4 linked regions of the Arabidopsis thaliana genome follow. The protein of the gene in region 1 interacts with the protein of each later gene in a pairwise test. Each region holds a gene or a part of one and is shown on either strand. Other genes may lie near its edges. The genes, in order: RK3, PUB38, SAUL1 and PUB14.

Region 1 (6,507 bases):
TTTGGTTTGGTTTGGTTTATAAATGGTCTAATTAGTGGTGGAAACTGAATGCTTGCAGGCTTGGTATTTGTATACTCATGGGAGATCAGAGGAGCTTGTGGATCCTAAGATCAGGGTCACATGCAGTAAGCGAGAGGCCTTGAGATGCATACACGTAGCGATGCTATGTGTTCAAGATTCGGCTGCGGAGAGACCCAACATGGCTTCAGTTTTGCTTATGTTAGAGAGTGACACAGCGACGCTCGCTGCGCCTAGACAACCAACGTTTACTTCCACCAGAAGAAACTCCATTGATGTCAACTTTGCTCTTGATTCGAGCCAACAATACATCGTTTCTTCTAATGAGATCACTTCAACGGTTGTTCTTGGACGATAAGATTCTTTTGTTTGTTCTTTTGTAAAGTTTTTTTTTATATAATTGTTGTGAAAACGTATAATATTTTTTGGTTAATTAGGATAATGGAGTAATGGTTGTTGAAACTTGAAATTTTGTTCATAAAGTGAAACATTACAAATGGGGTTTTATTACAGTATGATGTTGATATTTTGAAAAAATCACCACACTATTCTTTTTCAAAAATATCACAATGGATCAATTTACAAGTATAAACAAATGAAAACAGATAAAATATCAAAAAGCATTTATCTGAAATAAATCTTCAAATAAATCGTTTATACTATAACAAAGGTGGTAGTCTTAAAATATTTAGGTTAGTTTTGAAATGAGGATCATAATAATTGTTTTTCATTCTATTAAATATAGGTGAGTTGTTTCAAATATTGTAGGATTATTGTGTTTAATTTAATTAAAATGTGATTGATTTTTATGTATAGAGTTATTATATATAAATCAAACGAGGAACGAAGAATTATGAGGATGTTCAAAAATAAGACTTTTGGAGCGTTGACTATGGTAATTAGTACTGTTTTGATGGTGAAAAGAGTATTCGGTCTTCGTATTTCATACTTATATAATATACCTAAAACCGTGTTAACATAAATTTTCCTCTCCTCCAAGCTCCAAAGCCAAAAATCGTCAAACAAAATGCATAGGACAACATTATATTTGGTGATGAATAATTCAAATGTAGACTCATTATTAAATTGAATGGAATGATGAATTATTTAGAGTTAGAGAAAAAAAGAAAAAGTCAGGAAAACGTGAAACGACCCCTTTCTTTTTTGTCTTCGGAGAATGCGGAAATAAATTAAAGTAGGGTTTGTTTGATGAATACTAACATTGAAGTTCTTATTGGGAAGGATAAAAAAAAAATTGAGTTATTTATTACGAAAAAGAACACTGAAATTTATATAACTCTCGAAGCATGCATACAAAAGGTTGACTGATAATAAAATACGAAAAAGCAATATATTAAGTAATTTATTAAAAAAAATGGTCATCAATAATATCATATTTTGAAGAAAAATTCTGAATTTATGAAGTAAAAATGACTATTGGAAAAGGAAAGAAAGCCTGACAAAAAAAAAGAAGAAGAAGACTTTTTATTTGCTAGGTCAACTATGAATTGGACTGTACACATAGTACATAACTAGATATTTTTTCCAAATGCGAACAAGAAGACCAAGAAAAGAAAAAAAGCAAGGTAATATATTATTGACAGAAATAAAATCGGTTACGTAAGGTTCACACATTACACAAAACATGTCCGATATCTCCAATGGAAATAAACTCTCATACTTTTCTCAAGAAAGAGTGAAAAACAAAAAACTTGGTTTAGAGAAATGAGAGGTTTACCAAATTTCTACCATTCTTACACCTTCTTCTTCTTCTTCCTCTTAATTCTGTTCCCTGCTTACTCTATCTCTGCCAACACTTTGTCGGCTTCAGAATCTCTAACTATCTCAAGCAATAACACCATTGTGTCTCCTGGTAATGTCTTCGAGCTTGGTTTCTTCAAACCCGGTTTAGATTCTCGTTGGTATCTTGGAATTTGGTACAAGGCAATCTCTAAGAGAACCTACGTATGGGTTGCAAACAGAGACACTCCTCTCTCTAGTTCCATCGGAACTCTCAAAATCTCCGACAGTAATCTTGTCGTTTTGGATCAGTCCGATACACCGGTTTGGTCGACGAATCTGACCGGAGGAGATGTGAGATCTCCATTGGTGGCAGAGCTTCTTGATAATGGTAATTTTGTGCTCAGAGACTCCAAGAACAGCGCTCCAGATGGAGTTTTGTGGCAGAGTTTTGATTTTCCGACAGATACTTTACTTCCGGAGATGAAACTTGGCTGGGATGCCAAAACCGGGTTCAACAGATTCATTAGATCATGGAAATCTCCAGATGATCCATCAAGTGGAGATTTCTCGTTCAAACTCGAAACCGAAGGCTTCCCTGAGATTTTTCTATGGAACAGAGAATCACGAATGTACCGGAGTGGTCCATGGAATGGAATCCGGTTTAGTGGTGTACCGGAGATGCAACCATTTGAATACATGGTTTTCAATTTCACTACGAGTAAAGAAGAAGTGACTTACTCATTTAGAATCACTAAAAGCGACGTTTACTCGAGATTAAGCATAAGCTCCTCAGGATTGTTACAAAGATTCACTTGGATTGAGACAGCACAGAATTGGAACCAATTCTGGTACGCACCAAAAGACCAATGTGATGAGTACAAAGAGTGTGGTGTTTACGGTTATTGCGACTCGAACACTTCACCTGTTTGTAATTGTATTAAAGGGTTTAAGCCGAGGAATCCTCAAGTGTGGGGATTGAGAGACGGGTCGGATGGTTGCGTGAGGAAGACGCTACTGAGCTGTGGTGGCGGAGATGGGTTTGTGCGGTTGAAGAAAATGAAATTGCCGGATACTACCACGGCTAGTGTGGACAGAGGAATTGGTGTGAAAGAATGTGAACAGAAGTGTTTAAGAGATTGTAATTGCACGGCGTTTGCGAATACGGATATCCGGGGTAGCGGGTCGGGTTGTGTGACTTGGACCGGAGAGCTTTTTGATATCAGGAATTATGCCAAAGGTGGTCAAGATCTTTACGTTAGATTGGCTGCTACTGATCTCGGTTAGTTCATTCTCCACTATCTCTATTAGACTAAATGACATATGTTTGGTTTTCATTTTCCACATATTTACTTTTGCTAAGTAACGGTTGATAATAGTCTTCAAGATCACTTTTCAAAACATGTAAACAGTTTTATACATACTAGAAACTAAAAAGACATCATAAAAGATTTTGTCAGTAAGACTAAAAATTGATGCTAAAACTGCCCAATCAAGTTATTGAGTAATCCTATCACATTATACTAAAGATTTTCTTAAACGACAAAAGGAAGAAACGTTTTTTAAGGGTTTCAAGAATAGTAATTAACTTGGTTGTTAGATAAAGCACTTTTTTTTTGGGGTAGAATGTGAGAATGGTGTTGAATAGTGCAAGTCAATGTTATATTGTTGTTGGTTAACGAATTTGGAATTTAACAAAACGTTTTTCAGTTTTATTTTCCCTCTTTTCAAACTTCTTAAACTTGATTGAGATGTTGACGCATTCGGTCTTGGCATTATATGTGAAAACTCTTGTGATAAAGAACTAAGGTCCAATGGACTTTTAATCTTCTTAAAAGATGCAACGCATGAGTGAAACTTTTGATTACTACTATATTCTTCACAAAAACTTATCAATCTCAAGAATAATATGGTAAGGTAGATCCAAAGCCAAAAGAAATTATTTTTAGGTAGACCAATCTTTATGTTTTGTTTTTATTGGCGATAACAGTATAACGCTGTTTTTTGTTTGTTGGCGTTTATCTTTAATCAAAAGTACGACAATGTTTATTATTTTGTTAAATCATAAGACTAATACTAGTTTGTTTTATAAAATGATATTCATTTCCATGGTCGAGGTCCTAAATGTTGTGCTCAATTTGACATCTCTTTTCATTATTTCAGAGGACAAAAGAAACAGAAGTGCAAAAATCATAGGTTCGAGTATTGGAGTGAGCGTTTTGCTTCTTTTAAGTTTCATTATCTTCTTCTTGTGGAAAAGGAAGCAGAAGCGATCAATACTAATCGAAACACCTATTGGTATATCTGTAAATTTTAATTCCTTTCTTTTTGTTTGTAAATTTCTTAAAACTAATATCTTTACTGTTTTTGGTGTCTGTATGTAACAGTTGATCATCAACTGAGAAGCCGAGATTTGCTAATGAACGAAGTTGTAATATCAAGTAGGAGACACATATCTAGAGAAAACAATACAGACGATCTCGAATTGCCATTGATGGAGTTTGAAGAAGTTGCCATGGCCACAAACAATTTTTCTAACGCCAACAAGCTAGGACAAGGTGGTTTTGGTATAGTTTATAAGGTAAAAATGATTGAAAACTTAATTCATAATCTATCGCTGGACAAATATTTCGTTGTGTAACAAAATTAAGGGTTACAGGGAAAGTTACTTGATGGTCAAGAAATGGCAGTGAAGAGACTATCAAAGACATCAGTTCAGGGGACTGATGAGTTCAAGAATGAGGTAAAGTTGATTGCAAGGCTTCAGCACATAAACCTTGTTAGGCTTCTTGCATGTTGCGTCGATGCGGGTGAGAAGATGTTGATTTACGAGTACTTGGAAAATCTAAGCCTCGACTCTCATCTATTTGGTTAGTGTCTCAACTCCTTACAACTCTGTTCTAACAATTTTTCAATGTCTTTAAAAATAATGTACTCAATCCAGTGATGATTCATTAGCAGACAAATCCCGAAACTCTAAGCTAAATTGGCAAATGAGATTTGATATCATCAATGGTATTGCTCGAGGACTTCTATATCTTCACCAAGATTCACGGTTTAGAATTATCCATAGAGACTTGAAAGCAAGTAACATCTTGCTTGATAAATATATGACTCCAAAGATCTCGGATTTCGGAATGGCTAGGATCTTTGGACGGGATGAGACAGAAGCTAATACGAGGAAGGTGGTTGGAACCTAGTAAGCAATCATTCTCCAAAATATTAAAAATCTTTGTTTGAAATCTGAATTAAAAAAAAATAACTCAAAACTTTGAGTCTAATCTTCGTTATTCAGCGGTTATATGTCTCCTGAATATGCAATGGACGGGATATTCTCGATGAAGTCAGATGTTTTCAGTTTTGGGGTCTTGCTTCTTGAGATTATAAGTAGCAAGAGGAACAAAGGATTCTACAATTCGGACCGTGACCTTAACCTTCTCGGTTGTGTAAGTTAAAAACCTCTCAAACTTGATCTTGTTTTACACTCAAAATAATGATAACACTAGAAAAATTTCGATCATTATACACAGGTGTGGAGGAATTGGAAAGAAGGAAAAGGGCTAGAGATCATAGATCCAATCATCACAGATTCTTCATCAACATTCAGGCAACATGAAATCTTAAGATGCATACAAATTGGCCTCTTGTGTGTTCAAGAACGTGCAGAGGACAGACCAACTATGTCCTTGGTAATTTTGATGCTCGGAAGCGAATCAACAACTATTCCTCAACCTAAAGCGCCCGGTTATTGCCTGGAGAGAAGTCTTCTTGACACTGATTCTTCGTCGAGTAAACAGCGCGACGATGAATCATGGACAGTGAACCAAATTACTGTCTCGGTCCTTGATGCTCGGTAATGTGACTGTCAACTAGCCAATCTTCTATACTAAGATGACTAAATTGAGCGACAATAAGAATCAACTAGGAAAGATGGTATTAGTTATGTGCATAGTATTTTCTCTGTACGTCTCCGTTGCAAAGGTTACTACATGATTCAATTGTCTTAATTAAGCATGTATTCTGTAATTGCTTTATGGATAACCCAAATAGTCCTGCAGTTATAGGACATCAATGTGATATTTTGAAAGATTCTCAGACTTTCATATTATAAATTATGGCTACTAGAAGAGGCAAATATTGTTGGTTAGTAGAATTTCGGGTTGTACGTTTTGAGATTAGGTTTGTACATGTTGTAATAGATTTTTTTTTTAATAAGTACATACGTTATAAGAATTTTTTATGATCAGCAACACCTATTTCCATCGCTAACCATGGCCAAAATCCGGTGGATTTAATTTATGGGCTTTAGGAAGATCATGGGGGTATAGTGGATTTTTTGTTTTTAACTGATGACAGAGTAAATCCTTCATGGTTCCTTCATTTTAAGGTGATTTCAAATTTTCCTTCATTTCAAGGTGATTTCAATGTTTGTAGAGGCTTGATTAAAATTGTTTTAGATCATAAGGATTTTTGTGCATCAAAAGTGTTCGCAATTTCAATGTTTGGAGAGGCTTGATTAAAATTGTTTTAGATCATAAGGATTTTTATGCATCAAAAGTGTTCTGTCAAAATTCCTTAATTAACCTTTGATGAGTAGCTCGTCCTTTAATAATGATAGTTGATATACAGAATTGTGATTTATGAGCACATTAATATTGACATGAATGCTTGCTAATTTAAATTTTAAATGAGAGTTTAGAAATTTAGAATATTTAGCATAGATAATTAATTTCTTGAGAGATGATTTTT
Region 2 (4,345 bases), on another chromosome or scaffold:
ATGACTGAATTGGAGAAAGATTCCAAGTTCTTTGTGCAAGAGCTCGATGTTCAGTCTGAGCAGAGCGTGAGTAAAGTTGTGTCGAAAGTTATCGACAAATTTGGTCAGATTGATGTTTTGGTTAATAACGCCGGAGTTCAGTGTATCGGACCTTTGGCGGAGATTCCAATTTCAGCCATGGATTACACCTTCAACACCAATGTGCTCGGTGAATGAAAATTTTCGAGTTACTTCTTATATGCACACCATGTGTTTGTTAAAATTCTTGACTCAACTCTTTCATGTTTTATTTTGCTCTGTTGATTTGGGTTGTGAGAAGTCTCTTCAAGAACTGAACTTTGTAAAGAAACTTTGCAGGTTCCATGAGGATGACTCAAGCTGTTGTACCTCACATGGCGTCTAAGAAAAAGGGAAAGATTGTGAACATAGGAAGTATTAGCATAATGGCACCAGGACCATGGGCTGGGGTTTATACTGCATCAAAAGCTGCTCTTCATGCTCTTACCGACACTTTAAGGTTTTTCGATTTCAGCAGTCTCTTTTCATCAGCTTGATTAATATCATCTAAACAGTAAACACTATCTTGTTTTGTGTTTGTCTAGGTTGGAGCTTAAGCCATTTGGGATTGATGTAATCAACATTGTACCAGGAGGTATTCAATCAAACATAGCTAACTCAGGGATATCGAGTTTCAACAATTTACCTGAATTGAAACTATACAAACCGTTCGAGGACGCTATCCGTGAGAGAGCGTTTCTGTCGCAAAACATAAAGCCGATACCCACAGAGACTTTTGCGAAAGAGACTGTTTCCGTGGTGCTGAAGAAAAACCCACCGGCTTGGTACTCTACAGGTAGGTTATCTACAGTCATGGCGATCATGCACCATATACCGATTTTCATGAAAGATTTTCTGTTGACTAAGAGTTTTATGAAAAAGGGAGTAAAACCTGAATAGTTGTGTTCTTGGTTAGAAACTGTTTTAAATGTATCCAACAAAGTAAATGTGTTGCCTAACCATGTTACATCTTTAGTAAAAGGATTAATCAAGGTACTACTTTGGTAGGGTGTGCAAAAACAAAAACAAAACAGTGGCTAAGCAGAAACTTGGTTATAAACAAAAAAAACAGTGCCTAACCATGTTACATTTATAGTAAAAGATCCAAAAGGCCGAACCAAAACCAAATCGAACTAAAAATGAGTTTTTATTCGATTTTGGTTTGTATAAAACAGGTAAAACTTAATTCGAAACAAGATAAAACCGTAAAGCCAGATTGTCTACTAGACTACCCTTATACTTTGGTTTTTGGTACAAAGATTTGTAGGGGAAATGTCATATCATCTGTGATGCAACTTGCAACCCAACAATGCATCATCAGAGGACAAGATAAAAAGTGGTCAGAGGTTCAATGTAAAGCTTACAGCTAAAACTGAGAAAAGTTTTTTTCCCCTAAAGCTAAGAATGGCATGGATGTCCATCATGTTTAGTGAAAAATCTAATCATTTTATTATTCAGCAAAAATTAAACTTATTGATGCCACATATTTCAGTGTATCACTGTATTGTCATCCTTTTAAAACAAATTAGATTACATTCCAAAATGATAAATTACATTCCAAGTTTATAAGTACGTAAGTTAAAAGATATGTTTTTAAGAAAAGTATATGAACAAAATTGACCTGAAAAAGAAAGCAATAAAACTTTTCAGAATGCATGAACTATGAAAGCCAATTCACATCTGGGTCCACCTATATTAATTTCACAGTCAACATTTTCGATTACTACTAATATGTTCAAGTTTTTAAAAAAAAAATTAATAGTCACTTCGAAAATAAACAAAAGCCAAAAAAAAAAAGTCAGTAGGCCACAAAGTCCTTCAGTTCAGGAGGAAGAAGACGACTCTCCTCTCTTCTCATCTTTCTTCTTCTTCTCAGAAAATCACGAAAGATGAATTCAAATCCCTAATTCCTCTCCATAAAACCCAAAACCCTTTTCAGAAATCAAACTCACCACCAATTCCTGACCGTTGATTTGTCGCAGATGGGTAAAAACGGACGGCTCAGATGGAATCCTTTCAGCCACAGATCGTCTTCTTCAACCTCTTCATCTTCACGACAACAGCAACAAGAACAACAACCTCCGGTCGAATTTCTCTGTCCGATTTCAAAATCAGTAATGTCTGACCCTGTTGTTGTCTCTTCCGGTCAAACCTTCGAACGTGTCTGTGTTCAAGTCTGTCGCGACCTCAACTTTATCCCCAAACTCAACGACGACGAAGAATCTCTACCCGATTTCTCCAACATCATCCCTAACCTAAACATGAAATCAACAATCGATACTTGGTGCGACACCGTCGGCGTCTCACGTCCTCAGCCACCTGATTACTCCACCGTCGAGAGAATTTTACGGCAACAGATGCCTCCACCGGACGTCGAGATTCGTGTCTCCGAGCAAGAGCTTCTCAGAGCTGTAGCTCACCGAGCTCCGATGATAATTCACCACGCTGATTCTGAACTCATGGGAAGGAGAGATTTCAACAACTCCACGACCTCTTCTGATGAATCTGTAATCGTTGCTCACAGTCCATTCACTCCTCTTCCTTTAACAACTAGACCCGCTTGCTTCTCTCCATCTCCATCATCTTCTTCCTCCGAAATCGAAACCCTAACGCACCACACTTTCTTCTCTAATTCTACTTCCACCGCCACAGAAGAGGACGAAGTGATTTACAACAAGCTTAAGAGCAGTGAGATTTTTGATCAAGAGCAAGGTTTGATTATGATGAGGAAGATGACTCGTACTAATGATGAAGCTAGGGTTTCGCTTTGTTCTCCTCGGATTCTTTCTTTGTTGAAGAATATGATTGTTTCGAGATACAGTTTAGTGCAGACGAACGCGTTAGCGTCGCTTGTGAATCTGTCTTTGGATAAGAAGAACAAATTGACGATTGTTCGGTTAGGATTTGTTCCGATTTTGATCGATGTTCTGAAGTCGGGGTCTAGAGAAGCTCAAGAACACGCAGCTGGAACAATCTTTAGTCTTTCTCTTGAAGATGATAATAAAATGCCTATTGGAGTTTTAGGAGCGCTTCAGCCATTGCTTCACGCGTTACGTGCAGCTGAGAGTGATCGGACGCGGCATGATTCGGCTCTCGCGCTTTACCATTTGACGTTGAATCAGACGAATCGATCAAAGCTCGTTAGGCTTGGAGCGGTACCAGCGCTTTTCTCGATGGTTAGGTCCGGTGAATCGGCGAGCAGGGCATTGTTGGTGATCTGTAATTTAGCGTGTTGTAGTGAAGGAAGATCGGCGATGCTTGATGCGAATGCGGTTGCGATTCTTGTAGGGAAGTTAAGGGAGGAGTGGACGGAGGAGCCGACAGAGGCCCGGTCATCGTCATCGGCTCGTGAGAATTGCGTAGCGGCGTTGTTCGCATTGAGCCACGAGAGTCTTCGATTCAAAGGACTAGCGAAGGAGGCGAGAGCAGTGGAAGTGTTGAAGGAAGTGGAAGAGAGAGGAACAGAGAGAGCTAGAGAGAAAGCAAAGAAGATTCTTCAGCTGATGAGAGAAAGAGTGCCGGAGGATGATGAAGAAGATGGCGAAGGATCAATTGATTGGGACCGAGTTATCGACTCCAACGGCTCAATTAGGTCTAGATTCCGAGTTGGTGGTAGAAACAGAGTGGTCACTCAAAACTCCTCTGGCTTCTAAAGTTCCATTCCATTTGTTGTTGTATAGTAGACATTCAAAATGTTTTGTGATTGAAATTTTTTGTAAACTTGACTTGAAATATGTGAGAAAAAAAGCATGACTGATGTATATATATTTTGTACAATATATAAAAGATCCATTTGAAACAAACGCATACTAGATATAAATGTAACGCAGATACACAATAGAAGTCTAACTATGTTACAAAGAAGAAAAATTGACTAAACAGCTCAAGGTACAAGATTTGTAAGACAAAAGATCTCGTTTCTACTTTCTACAATATGCGTTACATGAAATAAAATAAAGTGGGTCAGAAACTATCTAATACTAGAACTAATTGGATTTTTTGGTTTGTTTTTACTAACCTTAAGAATGGTGTGGAGGTCCAAAATACATCATACCCGGTGGATGAAAACTCTGACCTTGTTGCGCTTGTTGCTGAGCTGCATTTGGTTGGTTGTTATTATTCATCATATGCGGCGGCAACGTTCCAGGCGGCGGTGGCGGCAGTGCTCCAGGTGGCATTAATGGAATGTTACCAAATCCATAAGGAAACTGTTGTGATGCGGCTGGATTTGGTATTATGTGATACTGCTGAGGATTTGGAGGAACAACAAATGCATTTGTGTCTGAGG
Region 3 (6,336 bases), on another chromosome or scaffold:
TTTTTCTCCATTTTTACTGTTTCTCTTCTCCAAAATGTTTTATTATTTTGATATATCCTTAGCTCGAGGTCTTGTAAGAACTTCTGGTAACATTTAACCAAATCAAAACAGATACACTTGAAGGTGGTAGCTACAAAATTGAAAATCGAGCTAATGCATTGGTACATTCTAACCCTCTGACTCGAAGAAGATATGATTTTCGCAGCATCAAACTGCTATGATCAATGTAACATCAGTCTTTGAGGTTGGCTCCATTCTGTTTCCGTTGAATCCACTGAGCACATTTCAGGATCAGTTGTTACCAAGGAACTTCACTTCTCTGTGATCCGCTCAAAGGCAGATATCATCGATGCACGCATGTTGGCTATTTCCACCAGAGTTTCAAGAGCTGTCCAAAGACGAGAGAAAAAAGAGTTTCAGTTGTAAACTGGAATCTTCCTTTGAGTATACTTGTGGTGATGAGGATGTTACCTGTTTCAAATGATTGTTGAGCGCCACGCAGCTTAGGAGAGACTAGACCTCCAAATACTGACAGAGATTTTGCCCGTTCTTTCTTTATCTGGAGCTCAACACATTCGAATTAGTAAAACCATCGTCCTACATTTTGAAAACAAGTAGAGTTTCTGCAGACGGTTAAATGATTGCTCACCTCTTCATCAGCTGCTAAAACGGTTTCATCCTTGGCTGATGGTTTCTCTTCTATCGAATTACATAAAGCAAGAGATGATGAAACACCGACAAACAAAGGGCAGAGAATAACCAACAGATGAGTCTTTTTTTACCAGAAACTCCTCGATGTCGTAGCTGTGGGCTGAGAGGTGAGCCTATCTCCGAATCTGTATCAGTAGAGAAGTCTTTGCCTTTCCTGCTACCGCCCTTGGAAGCCCACTTGGACAAAGCAAAATGAGGTACTGATCCCAAAGATTCAACTACAAGAGTCCATAGACATACACTGTATATAAGTTGCTTCCCCGCAAAAAAAACATAAATTCATAGCATATAAACGTAAACCATTGAACTATCAAACGCCCAAAGCATAAGCCAAACTTACCATCTTGGTCAGTCACTTGCAATGTTGAAGAAGCGGGATGATACTTAAGATCTAAGAGAGTGCTGTTGATGCGTAAAGTTCCCATAGAATGTCGAGCACTAGCTAGATCAAACCATCCCTGCAAAAATAACACATTTCAGTTCCATACCAAATAAGTTAATTAAGGCAGCAGACTCTCACTCTCATCATATCAGTGATATGAATCCACAAAAAAGTTTCTCCTCATGGCTACTATAGCTAGATAATCAACGAAAACGTTTCCCACGCAATCCTTTTTAATCCCAGATTCAATTCAATTCAACACAGAATATCTCAAGTCATCTATACATCAGAACATAAGAATCATTCCCATAAGATCCCATTTTAGCTCAATACACCAAATATCATTCCAATTACCTCTCGAAGCTTAGAATTCACAGAATCCATAAGCGTTAAATATCCATCCAACGAATCTAGAAACTGCAAAACATTCTCATCTCCTCCCCCTTTTCCCAGCTCAGTTTTCACTTCTGATTCTTTATTCACATCCACTGATTCATCTCCTTCCTCGTAAATCTCCGCCATCGAAATTTAGCTCCAACACACGCGAATCAACAAATCGAAGCTTACACGAGGAAGACAACGTAAAGCGATCGAAACAGAGACAGATCAATTTCTCGAGTAAACGAGGCTATTTTCGTAATATTTCAATTAGTAAAGGCCCAATAGCCCAAGTAGAAGACAACGTAAAGCGATCGAAACAAAGACGGATCAAACGAGGCTATTTTCGTAATATCCAATTAATAAAGGCCCATTAATACCAATAGCCCAAGTCGAAAGATTACCTCTTTCGGGTCAAACCGGTTATGTTTATGGGTGGGTGGGTAGAGCAAGTCGAGTGTGTGTGAACACAGCGCCAGGCTGTTTGTCTCAGTTTGTCAAGTTGGCGTTTGGTGGCTCCACGTCTCTCTCTATCTCTCTCTCTCACATGACTTTTCGATTTTAGTCAACCTTTCGTGCTTTTCTCTTAAAAATTCGATTTTTTCTTCAACCCATCTTCTTCTCTGTTATTTCCTCTCGCTTTTACCTGTCTCTCTCGTTCTCGCACGGGGATAGAATCAACTCTGCTCGAGATTTTAGTAGGAGGCAAGCTCGATTGCTTGCAATTAGATCCATGGATGAAGAAGAACTCACACTTTCTCGCGCGTTTTTAGCTCAAGGAGATTTTTGAAGAAGTGGTCGTTTTCGAATTGTCAACTTCAGAAGAAGAATCAACTTTGGTTTTTTCTTTTCCCTTCTCTGTATAGCTTTGAGGAGGCGCTTCTTCAACTGGAACAGGCTGGTGTGCTTTTTTTTTTATCTCTTTTGGTATTTTTGAAATGCTTCATGAGACGTTGTTTCTCTTCTTTATCTTTTTGACGAATATTGCTAAATTTGGTAATCTTGCTATATAAGGGTTCATGGGAGTGATGATTTTGGGACACTGTTACTTTTCGTATTTTAGGTTATAGTTATGATTGAAAGTTTGAATTTTGTTTCCTTGGCTGTGAAAGAATCCGGGAACCAAACTGTGGTACTATCCCTTTTTGTGTTTCCAAAACTTTCTCATTCATTTACTATCAAATTTCGACACTTTCTTACCAGACTCTCTTGCATTGATGTATCCAAGTGGGTTTTCATCTAGGATCCTATGTTTCATAACAATGAGGTATTTGCTTGTACATTTGCAGTGAGTTTGAAGGATTAAGATGGTTGGAAGCTCGGATGGTGACCAGTCAGATGATAGCTCTCATTTTGAGCGAGGAGTAGATCATATCTATGAAGCATTCATCTGCCCATTGACAAAGGAGGTTATGCATGATCCTGTCACTTTAGAGAATGGTCGAACATTCGAGCGTGAAGCCATTGAGAAATGGTTCAAGGAGTGTCGGGACAGTGGGAGACCTCCTTCTTGCCCTTTGACATCTCAGGAGCTGACTAGCACTGATGTAAGCGCCAGCATAGCTCTGCGTAACACTATCGAAGAGTGGAGATCCAGGAATGATGCTGCCAAGCTTGACATTGCTCGTCAGTCACTGTTTTTAGGGAATGCTGAGACAGATATTTTGCAAGCTTTGATGCATGTGCGACAGATTTGCAGGACCATCCGATCAAATAGGCATGGTGTACGCAACTCTCAGCTTATCCATATGATCATCGACATGTTAAAAAGTACTAGCCATAGAGTGCGGTATAAGGCTCTACAAACTCTGCAAGTTGTCGTTGAAGGAGATGATGAGAGCAAGGTTGAATCTGATTTCTTTTCATCTCTGCTGAATATTTAGTGTAGCATTTTAATGGGAAATTGAGCGGGTGCTAATTAAATTTTCAGCATCTTGCAGGCGATAGTAGCTGAAGGGGACACTGTGCGTACACTAGTTAAGTTCTTATCACATGAGCCATCAAAGGGGAGGGAGGCAGCTGTTTCCTTGCTGTTTGAGCTCTCTAAATCAGAAGCTTTGTGCGAGAAGATTGGTTCCATTCATGGAGCACTAATATTATTGGTTGGTCTGACAAGCAGCAACTCAGAAAATGTTTCAATTGTTGAGAAAGCTGATAGAACCTTGGAAAATATGGAGAGGTCAGAGGAAATTGTTAGGCAGATGGCTTCATATGGTAGACTCCAGCCTCTTCTAGGCAAACTCCTTGAAGGTGAAAGAATTTCTTTTCTTTGTTTGGTTTTAATATAACAATTACGCTCTCTACTTCATTTGCATAAAACAAGTTATCATCTTCCTTCAGTTGGTAAAATTCTTCCTTCAGTTGTTCGGATGCATCACAGTGTTATGGTATTCTGCCTTAGAATTTGTTTGCTCTAGGAATTTTACATGTTCGCTTGTAAGAAGAGTCAATTTTCTTCTACCCAGATGGTCAAATCTTTCATTATTTTCCTCTGTTATATGGCAAATTTCTTGTATGAATAATGACACCACATGTGAAATCTGCAGGTTCACCTGAAACAAAACTCTCTATGGCTTCCTTTCTCGGGGAGCTTCCCTTAAATAACGATGTGAAGGTTCTTGTGGCTCAGACTGTGGGTTCTTCTCTTGTCGATCTTATGAGAAGTGGTGACATGCCCCAACGGGAAGCTGCCTTGAAAGCTCTTAACAAAATCTCATCGTTCGAAGGGAGTGCTAAGGTCTTGATCAGCAAAGGAATTCTCCCCCCACTTATCAAAGATCTGTTTTATGTGGGGCCAAACAACCTTCCAATTCGGTTGAAAGAAGTCTCTGCCACTATTCTTGCTAACATAGTGAACATCGGGTATGACTTTGACAAAGCCACTCTTGTTTCAGAGAACAGAGTGGAGAATCTGCTCCATCTAATTAGCAACACAGGTCCAGCGATCCAGTGCAAGCTGTTGGAGGTTCTTGTTGGACTCACCAGTTGCCCAAAAACAGTTCCAAAAGTTGTTTATGCAATTAAAACCTCCGGTGCAATCATCAGTTTGGTTCAGTTTATAGAGGTCCGAGAGAATGATGATTTGCGGTTGGCTTCCATAAAGCTTCTTCATAACCTTTCCCCATTCATGAGTGAAGAACTAGCTAAGGCCTTATGTGGCACTGCTGGACAACTCGGAAGCCTTGTTGCTATCATTTCAGAAAAGACACCAATCACTGAAGAACAGGCTGCTGCTGCTGGGCTCTTAGCTGAATTGCCAGATAGGGATTTGGGTCTTACTCAGGAAATGTTAGAAGTTGGTGCTTTTGAAAAAATCATATCCAAAGTGTTTGGAATCCGCCAAGGGGATATCAAGGGAATGAGGTTTGTGAATCCTTTTCTGGAAGGACTTGTGCGTATACTTGCTAGGATTACTTTTGTTTTCAACAAAGAGGCTCGGGCCATTAACTTTTGCCGTGAGCACGATGTTGCGTCACTCTTCCTTCATCTGCTCCAATCCAACGGGCAAGATAACATACAGATGGTGTCCGCCATGGCTTTAGAGAATCTTTCACTAGAGTCTATAAAGCTGACACGGATGCCTGATCCGCCTCCTGTGAACTACTGTGGCTCGATCTTTTCGTGTGTGAGAAAACCACACGTTGTAAACGGGCTGTGCAAGATCCACCAGGGAATATGTTCATTAAGAGAAACATTTTGCCTTGTCGAAGGAGGAGCTGTGGAGAAATTAGTGGCTCTATTAGACCATGAAAATGTGAAAGTGGTTGAGGCCGCACTTGCAGCTCTATCGAGCTTACTAGAAGACGGGTTAGATGTAGAGAAAGGGGTCAAGATACTCGATGAAGCGGATGGGATACGGCATATACTAAACGTTCTGAGGGAGAACCGAACAGAGAGGCTGACAAGGAGAGCGGTTTGGATGGTGGAAAGGATCTTGCGGATTGAAGACATAGCAAGAGAGGTGGCAGAGGAACAGAGCCTGAGCGCTGCACTTGTGGACGCTTTCCAAAACGCTGATTTTAGAACGAGACAGATCGCTGAGAACGCGTTGAAACACATTGATAAGATCCCAAACTTCTCAAGTATATTCCCAAACATCGCATAGGGAAAATCTCTTTGAAACTGTCCAGTGAGTTATAGTGATTTTAAAACTGTGGTTTTTGTTTTGATGGGATTACTTGTTAATAGGCATCCAGTTTTTTTCTGGGTATATATTGTAAATTCCGATTCTTATTTGTTTATAAATCCTACGTTGGAAATCGAAATCATTTGATTGGCCTCAGATTAAAAAGGCTTATGTGTGTTGCGGAGGGAGTTGTGCTTACTTTTGCATCAAATATATATTGAGTTCATAGATTAAACCAATTTGTAAAACGTTTTAAGCTTCACACAAACTGATTTGAGATTTGGGAAGAACAAAAACAACTCTTTCTTCGCACCCTTTAAATAAACTAATTTAGTTAATAAAAGACAAAGTACGATTAACCAGACCCATAATAGCCATTACAGATGAGATGACTTCAGATCTGGTAACGGTCTCGGTCTCGGTCTTGGTCATGGGCATAGGCATAGGCATAGGCATAGGCATAGGCATAGCCATGGCGATGGGCATAGGCATAGGCATGGCCATGGGCATAGGCATGTGCATGTGCATGTGCATGTGCATGGGCATAGGCATGGGCATGGGCATGGGCATAGGCATGGGCATGAGCACATGTACATGTTCTTGATCCAGTAATCCAATCACAGAAGACCACGACGGCTTAAACAGAAAAAAGTCTCGATCAGCATCGCACCACGTTGGAATCGAACCCAAAACTCTCCACTTGTTAGCTCTCAAGTCGTATCTGTGAATCACTGAGCCA
Region 4 (4,837 bases), on another chromosome or scaffold:
CTTATTTTATTAGATAAACGCTTTGCAAACTTACTAGGATTTAACCTGCATTCACTTTATTTTTAGGTATTCTGCTCTTGCACCACTATACTACCGTGGAGCTGGAGTTGCTGTTATTGTGTATGATATAACAAGCCCTGAATCGTTCAAGAAAGCACAGTATTGGGTTAAGGTATGTTTTCAGGGGGTTCAAAAGGTTCCATTTCGTTCATGTTTCTAGGATTCGTGCAATAGCTTCCGAGCTATATCTTTACCAGGACTGAAAATTAGAGTTACAGACAGTCATATAGCCAACAGCACTCCTGTCTGTGTATATAATGGGTATCATTTAGTTGGGCAACTGGTTTACTTCTCTGACATTTTTGTTCCATTAATTTGCACTCGTTGCTACCATGAAGCCATTTGGCACAACTCCGTGCAGGAAAGATATCAACATTATATTGAATCTAGTGCTATTGTTTTACCCCTGCCCATAAATCTAACAGGAACTGCAAAAGCATGGAAGCCCAGATATTGTTATGGCTCTGGTTGGTAACAAAGCTGATCTACATGAAAAAAGAGAAGTACCTACTGAGGTGAGTTTGCGTAAACGTCTTCATCTAGATTCCGTAGCGCATTTTGTTGTCACTTTCATTGTCCTTGCTTCTTCAGTGGTATCACATTTTCAATTTCTTAACAGGATGGAATGGAGCTTGCAGAGAAGAACGGCATGTTCTTCATTGAGACGTCAGCCAAGACAGCCGATAACATAAATCAACTGTTTGAGGTGTGCACTTCTTTCTTGCCTCTGATTTATGATCGATTTTCTTGTCCTCTGCATTTATTGAGATCTTATTATCCGTTTCTTTCATTGCTTTGGAATTGGAGGATGGAAAAGTGATAGGCAGTGATATGCAGCTAGATATGAGATTTAATTTCTTGTAGTTTGTGGAGGATAATAGTTTTGGATGCAGAAAGATGGATTAATACGAAGTATATGAGATTTTAACTTGTTGTAGTGTACACATGTCTGATAGGAAATTGGCAAGAGGCTACCTCGTCCTGCTCCTTCGTCATGATTGGAGTGTTGAATCATCTCATCTTCAGCCATGTCTTCAGACTACTAATCTTTCCATACTTTTTAATGTAATGTTTCAAAACAATATTTCTCTATCTGTTAAGTCAAGTGTGTTGTATAATGTGAAGATTTGAGTTTGAAACTGGGGATATTACGAACCTCAAAAGTGGAAACCCAAGTTATATCAAGCAATGGATCATCAGTACATATTTTAGTGGGATTCATCAGAAGTAGAGAAGAGTAAAGCTTCATTCAAATGATTCAATGCATGTATAGTTTGTGGGAGAGACTATTGCAGCCAATTCTAACAAAACCTAAATCAAGAAATTATTTGACAATTTCAAAGAGACTAACAAACAGGTAGAGAAATCCATTATACAAAGGATTTGACTTTTGATGATTTCAGATGCAAATACAAACTTAAAAACTTTATATATTTGTATTGGTCAACCTTAATATCATAAATTTATAGTTGAGGCAATAAATAAATATGAAAATCTAAATGCAATGTTTAAATATTAAAATTTAACGGCAAAATAAAATAGAAAAAATTATGATTGGTCTGAAAATGGACAAAATGAGACTTTTCATGTCCAAATAGGTGTTTATTGTCACGTTGATGAGAAGACTATTTCGTTCCATAGCATTTCTGTTCCTCCTCTTGGTTTTTTGGGTTTCTTCTTCCTCGTCTTGGTTTCGTTAAAACCCTTTTGAAGCCCTCTGGAACAGTAAAATCTGAGGGATGGGATTAACGAATTGTTGTTCCCACGAGGAGCTAATGAGTCGACTCGTTGACTCCGTTAAAGAAATATCAGGGTTTTCATCTTCAAGGGGTTTTATTGGGAAGATCCAAGGCGATCTTGTTCGTAGGATCACGCTTCTCAGCCCTTTCTTCGAGGAATTGATTGACGTCAATGTTGAATTGAAAAAGGATCAGATTACAGGGTTTGAGGCTATGAGAATCGCTCTTGATTCAAGTCTTGAGCTTTTTCGATCGGTTAATGGAGGAAGCAAGCTTTTTCAGGTTACTCATTTACTTGCTCTGTTTTATTTGTATTTATATCTTTGGTAGCTGGCAAAAGTTGGCAATTTCCTTTGTTTTCTCTTCGAGGGTTTAAGATTTTGGTGTTTAGGGTTTTGTTGTTTGTCTTTGTCTTCTTTAACAATATCAAGAATTTGGGTTTTGTCTTGTTTCTCTTATTTTGGGATGAATCAAATTGAGTCTGATAACAAGAAGTTGAGACCTTTTTCGTGTTCTCTCTGCTGGCAGCTTTTCGATAGAGATTCTCTTGTGGAGAAGTTCCGTGACATGACAGTGGAGATAGAAGCAGCGTTAAGTCAGATTCCTTATGAGAAGATTGAGGTATCAGAGGAAGTCAGAGAACAGGTACTTCTCAATGCATTGATTTAAGGAGGGCTATATTTTTCTGTTGATTAAAATCTGAATTCTAATGATAAGCTCTCTGAATTTGTAGGTTCAGCTTCTGCATTTTCAGTTCAAGAGAGCAAAAGAAAGATGGGAGGAGTCTGATCTACAGCTTAGCCATGATCTAGCTATGGCAGAGAATGTGATGGATCCTGACCCTATAATCCTCAAAAGACTTTCACAAGAGCTCCAACTTACTACCATTGATGAGCTGAAGAAAGAATCGCATGCGATACATGAGTATTTTCTTTCATATGATGGAGATCCTGATGACTGTTTCGAGAGGATGTCTTCACTTCTTAAAAACCTGGTAGACTTTGTAACAATGGAAAGTTCAGACCCTGATCCATCCACTGGCAGCAGAATCGTTTCGAGACATCGTTCTCCTGTTATACCAGAGTATTTTCGGTGTCCGATATCACTTGAACTGATGAAGGATCCTGTTATCGTCTCCACTGGACAGGTCTGGCTTTGCAAGTTTCGTTGTGCATTGTAGTGAATTTGATTATTAAACTTGTGTATTTGTTGTTATAGCTGAATTTTTCGACCTTGCAGACATATGAAAGATCATCAATTCAGAAGTGGCTTGATGCTGGTCATAAAACATGTCCGAAATCTCAGGAGACACTTTTACATGCTGGATTAACCCCTAATTATGTGTTAAAGAGTCTCATTGCTTTGTGGTGTGAAAGCAACGGCATTGAGCTACCGCAAAATCAAGGGAGCTGTAGAACCACAAAAATAGGAGGAAGCAGCTCTTCAGATTGTGATCGAACATTTGTCCTTTCCTTGTTAGAGAAATTGGCCAACGGTACTACAGAACAGCAAAGAGCTGCAGCTGGAGAATTAAGGTTACTAGCCAAGAGGAACGTGGATAACAGAGTTTGTATCGCTGAGGCTGGAGCCATACCACTCCTTGTAGAGCTTCTATCCTCACCAGATCCTCGGACTCAGGAACATTCTGTGACAGCTCTTCTGAATCTTTCCATAAATGAAGGGAACAAAGGAGCCATTGTTGATGCAGGAGCCATAACGGATATAGTAGAAGTCCTAAAGAACGGAAGCATGGAAGCTAGAGAGAACGCTGCTGCAACCCTTTTCAGTTTATCTGTTATAGATGAAAACAAAGTGGCAATAGGTGCTGCTGGAGCTATCCAAGCACTTATAAGCTTGCTTGAGGAAGGAACCCGAAGAGGCAAAAAAGATGCTGCTACAGCGATTTTCAACTTATGCATATACCAGGGGAACAAATCAAGGGCGGTTAAAGGCGGTATTGTTGACCCTCTGACCAGATTACTGAAAGATGCAGGTGGCGGAATGGTGGATGAGGCTCTGGCCATTTTAGCAATTCTTTCAACTAACCAAGAAGGGAAAACAGCGATAGCTGAAGCAGAATCTATCCCGGTTTTGGTTGAGATTATAAGGACAGGGTCACCAAGGAACCGGGAAAATGCTGCAGCAATACTTTGGTATCTATGTATTGGGAATATAGAAAGGCTAAATGTAGCAAGAGAGGTTGGTGCAGATGTGGCCTTGAAGGAACTTACTGAGAATGGCACTGATAGAGCAAAGAGGAAAGCTGCGAGCTTGTTGGAGCTTATTCAGCAAACCGAAGGTGTTGCAGTAACTACTGTTCCATGAAAGCCTCGCTCTTTTGGAATGTTATTTGTTTCAGTGTAGATTATATGTATAGGAACCTTTGGTTTGAGTCTGACATAAGAATCTTATGTAATGATGTTATATGTAATTTTCGACTCAGAGTTGTGTATATCTATTTGATATTTAAAAGTAAAAGTAACCCTATTATTTACTGTTTCACACTCTCGATTTGCTTGAGAATTAGGGAGAAGTAAAGCCGTATATAACTAGCAGAAGTTGAAGTGAAAGGTTGTACCAAGAAAACATTATTGAATTTGTATAATCACGCTGTATCTCAACCATTTAATATACACATACACATACGCATACCATTCACTCTGCAACCACAATGATCCAGAAAAATAAACAAAGACATACAAAAAATGAATTAATAAACACACTCGAAAGAGAAAAGATGAACATAACGCTCAGTTTACGGATCAGCCTAGTTTTTCCATGAATGTTTCTATCAACGTTGCGCCGTTGACGATTTTTGTTGTGGCAACAATCAAATCATAAGCCATTCCTTCCTGATAAAATTTTATGCAGAAGCAAGAATGGAGGATTCAGCGGACAAAAAGAGTGTTTTTTTTATGGTAAACTTTTGAAGTTTGATATATACCTTAGAGGCGAGATACCGTAAAGCAGAGATTTCAGCAAATGTTACACCTCCAATGAAGACAACAAGAACAATTGAGCGTCTTCCATCAGCAACC

Evidence for each region.
Region 2: the proteins of RK3 (region 1) and PUB38 interact in a two-hybrid assay, tested with the Arabidopsis thaliana proteins (one study listed by BioGRID).
Region 3: the proteins of RK3 (region 1) and SAUL1 interact in a two-hybrid assay, tested with the Arabidopsis thaliana proteins (one study listed by BioGRID).
Region 4: the proteins of RK3 (region 1) and PUB14 interact in a two-hybrid assay, tested with the Arabidopsis thaliana proteins (one study listed by BioGRID).

What each region holds. Positions count from the first base shown.
Region 1 is NC_003075.7:11,388,327-11,394,833, reverse strand, and holds RK3 (receptor kinase 3), read left to right. Parts: upstream 1-1,607; 5' UTR 1,608-1,743; coding exon 1,744-3,040; intron 3,041-3,921; coding exon 3,922-4,056; intron 4,057-4,145; coding exon 4,146-4,339; intron 4,340-4,417; coding exon 4,418-4,628; coding exon of another isoform or gene 4,629-4,633; exon of another isoform or gene 4,634-4,719; coding exon 4,720-4,957; intron 4,958-5,053; coding exon 5,054-5,204; intron 5,205-5,288; coding exon 5,289-5,615; 3' UTR 5,616-6,007; downstream 6,008-6,507. Other genes in the region: B120 (S-locus lectin protein kinase family protein), read left to right, coding at 59-376. UniProt on the Arabidopsis thaliana protein: Involved in the regulation of cellular expansion and differentiation.
Region 2 is NC_003076.8:26,047,538-26,051,882, reverse strand, and holds PUB38 (plant U-box 38), read left to right. Parts: upstream 1-1,836; 5' UTR 1,837-2,039; coding exon 2,040-3,710; 3' UTR 3,711-3,818; downstream 3,819-4,345. Other genes in the region: AT5G65205 (NAD(P)-binding Rossmann-fold superfamily protein), read left to right, coding at 1-208, 358-517, 603-957; AT5G65180 (ENTH/VHS family protein), read right to left, coding at 4,077-4,345. UniProt on the Arabidopsis thaliana protein: Functions as an E3 ubiquitin ligase.
Region 3 is NC_003070.9:7,215,034-7,221,369, forward strand, and holds SAUL1 (senescence-associated E3 ubiquitin ligase 1), read left to right. Parts: upstream 1-1,987; 5' UTR 1,988-2,372; exon of another isoform or gene 2,373-2,760; 5' UTR 2,761-2,778; coding exon 2,779-3,315; intron 3,316-3,411; coding exon 3,412-3,721; intron 3,722-4,017; coding exon 4,018-5,576; 3' UTR 5,577-5,809; downstream 5,810-6,336. Other genes in the region: AT1G20770 (coiled-coil protein), read right to left, coding at 312-388, 472-559, 650-699, 783-929, 1,052-1,169, 1,448-1,615; AT1G20790 (F-box family protein), read right to left, coding at 5,928-6,336. UniProt on the Arabidopsis thaliana protein: Functions as an E3 ubiquitin-protein ligase. Prevents premature senescence probably by targeting proteins involved in this process for degradation. Promotes the degradation of AAO3 and thus represses abscisic acid (ABA) biosynthesis.
Region 4 is NC_003074.8:20,319,725-20,324,561, forward strand, and holds PUB14 (plant U-box 14), read left to right. Parts: upstream 1-1,628; 5' UTR 1,629-1,799; coding exon 1,800-2,081; intron 2,082-2,327; coding exon 2,328-2,444; intron 2,445-2,532; coding exon 2,533-2,946; intron 2,947-3,038; coding exon 3,039-4,124; 3' UTR 4,125-4,296; downstream 4,297-4,837. Other genes in the region: ARA6 (Ras-related small GTP-binding family protein), read left to right, coding at 67-172, 486-575, 680-766, 1,017-1,058; ATVPS33 (Sec1/munc18-like (SM) proteins superfamily), read right to left, coding at 4,562-4,651, 4,744-4,837. UniProt on the Arabidopsis thaliana protein: Functions as an E3 ubiquitin ligase with specific E2 ubiquitin-conjugating enzymes. Undergoes auto-ubiquitination.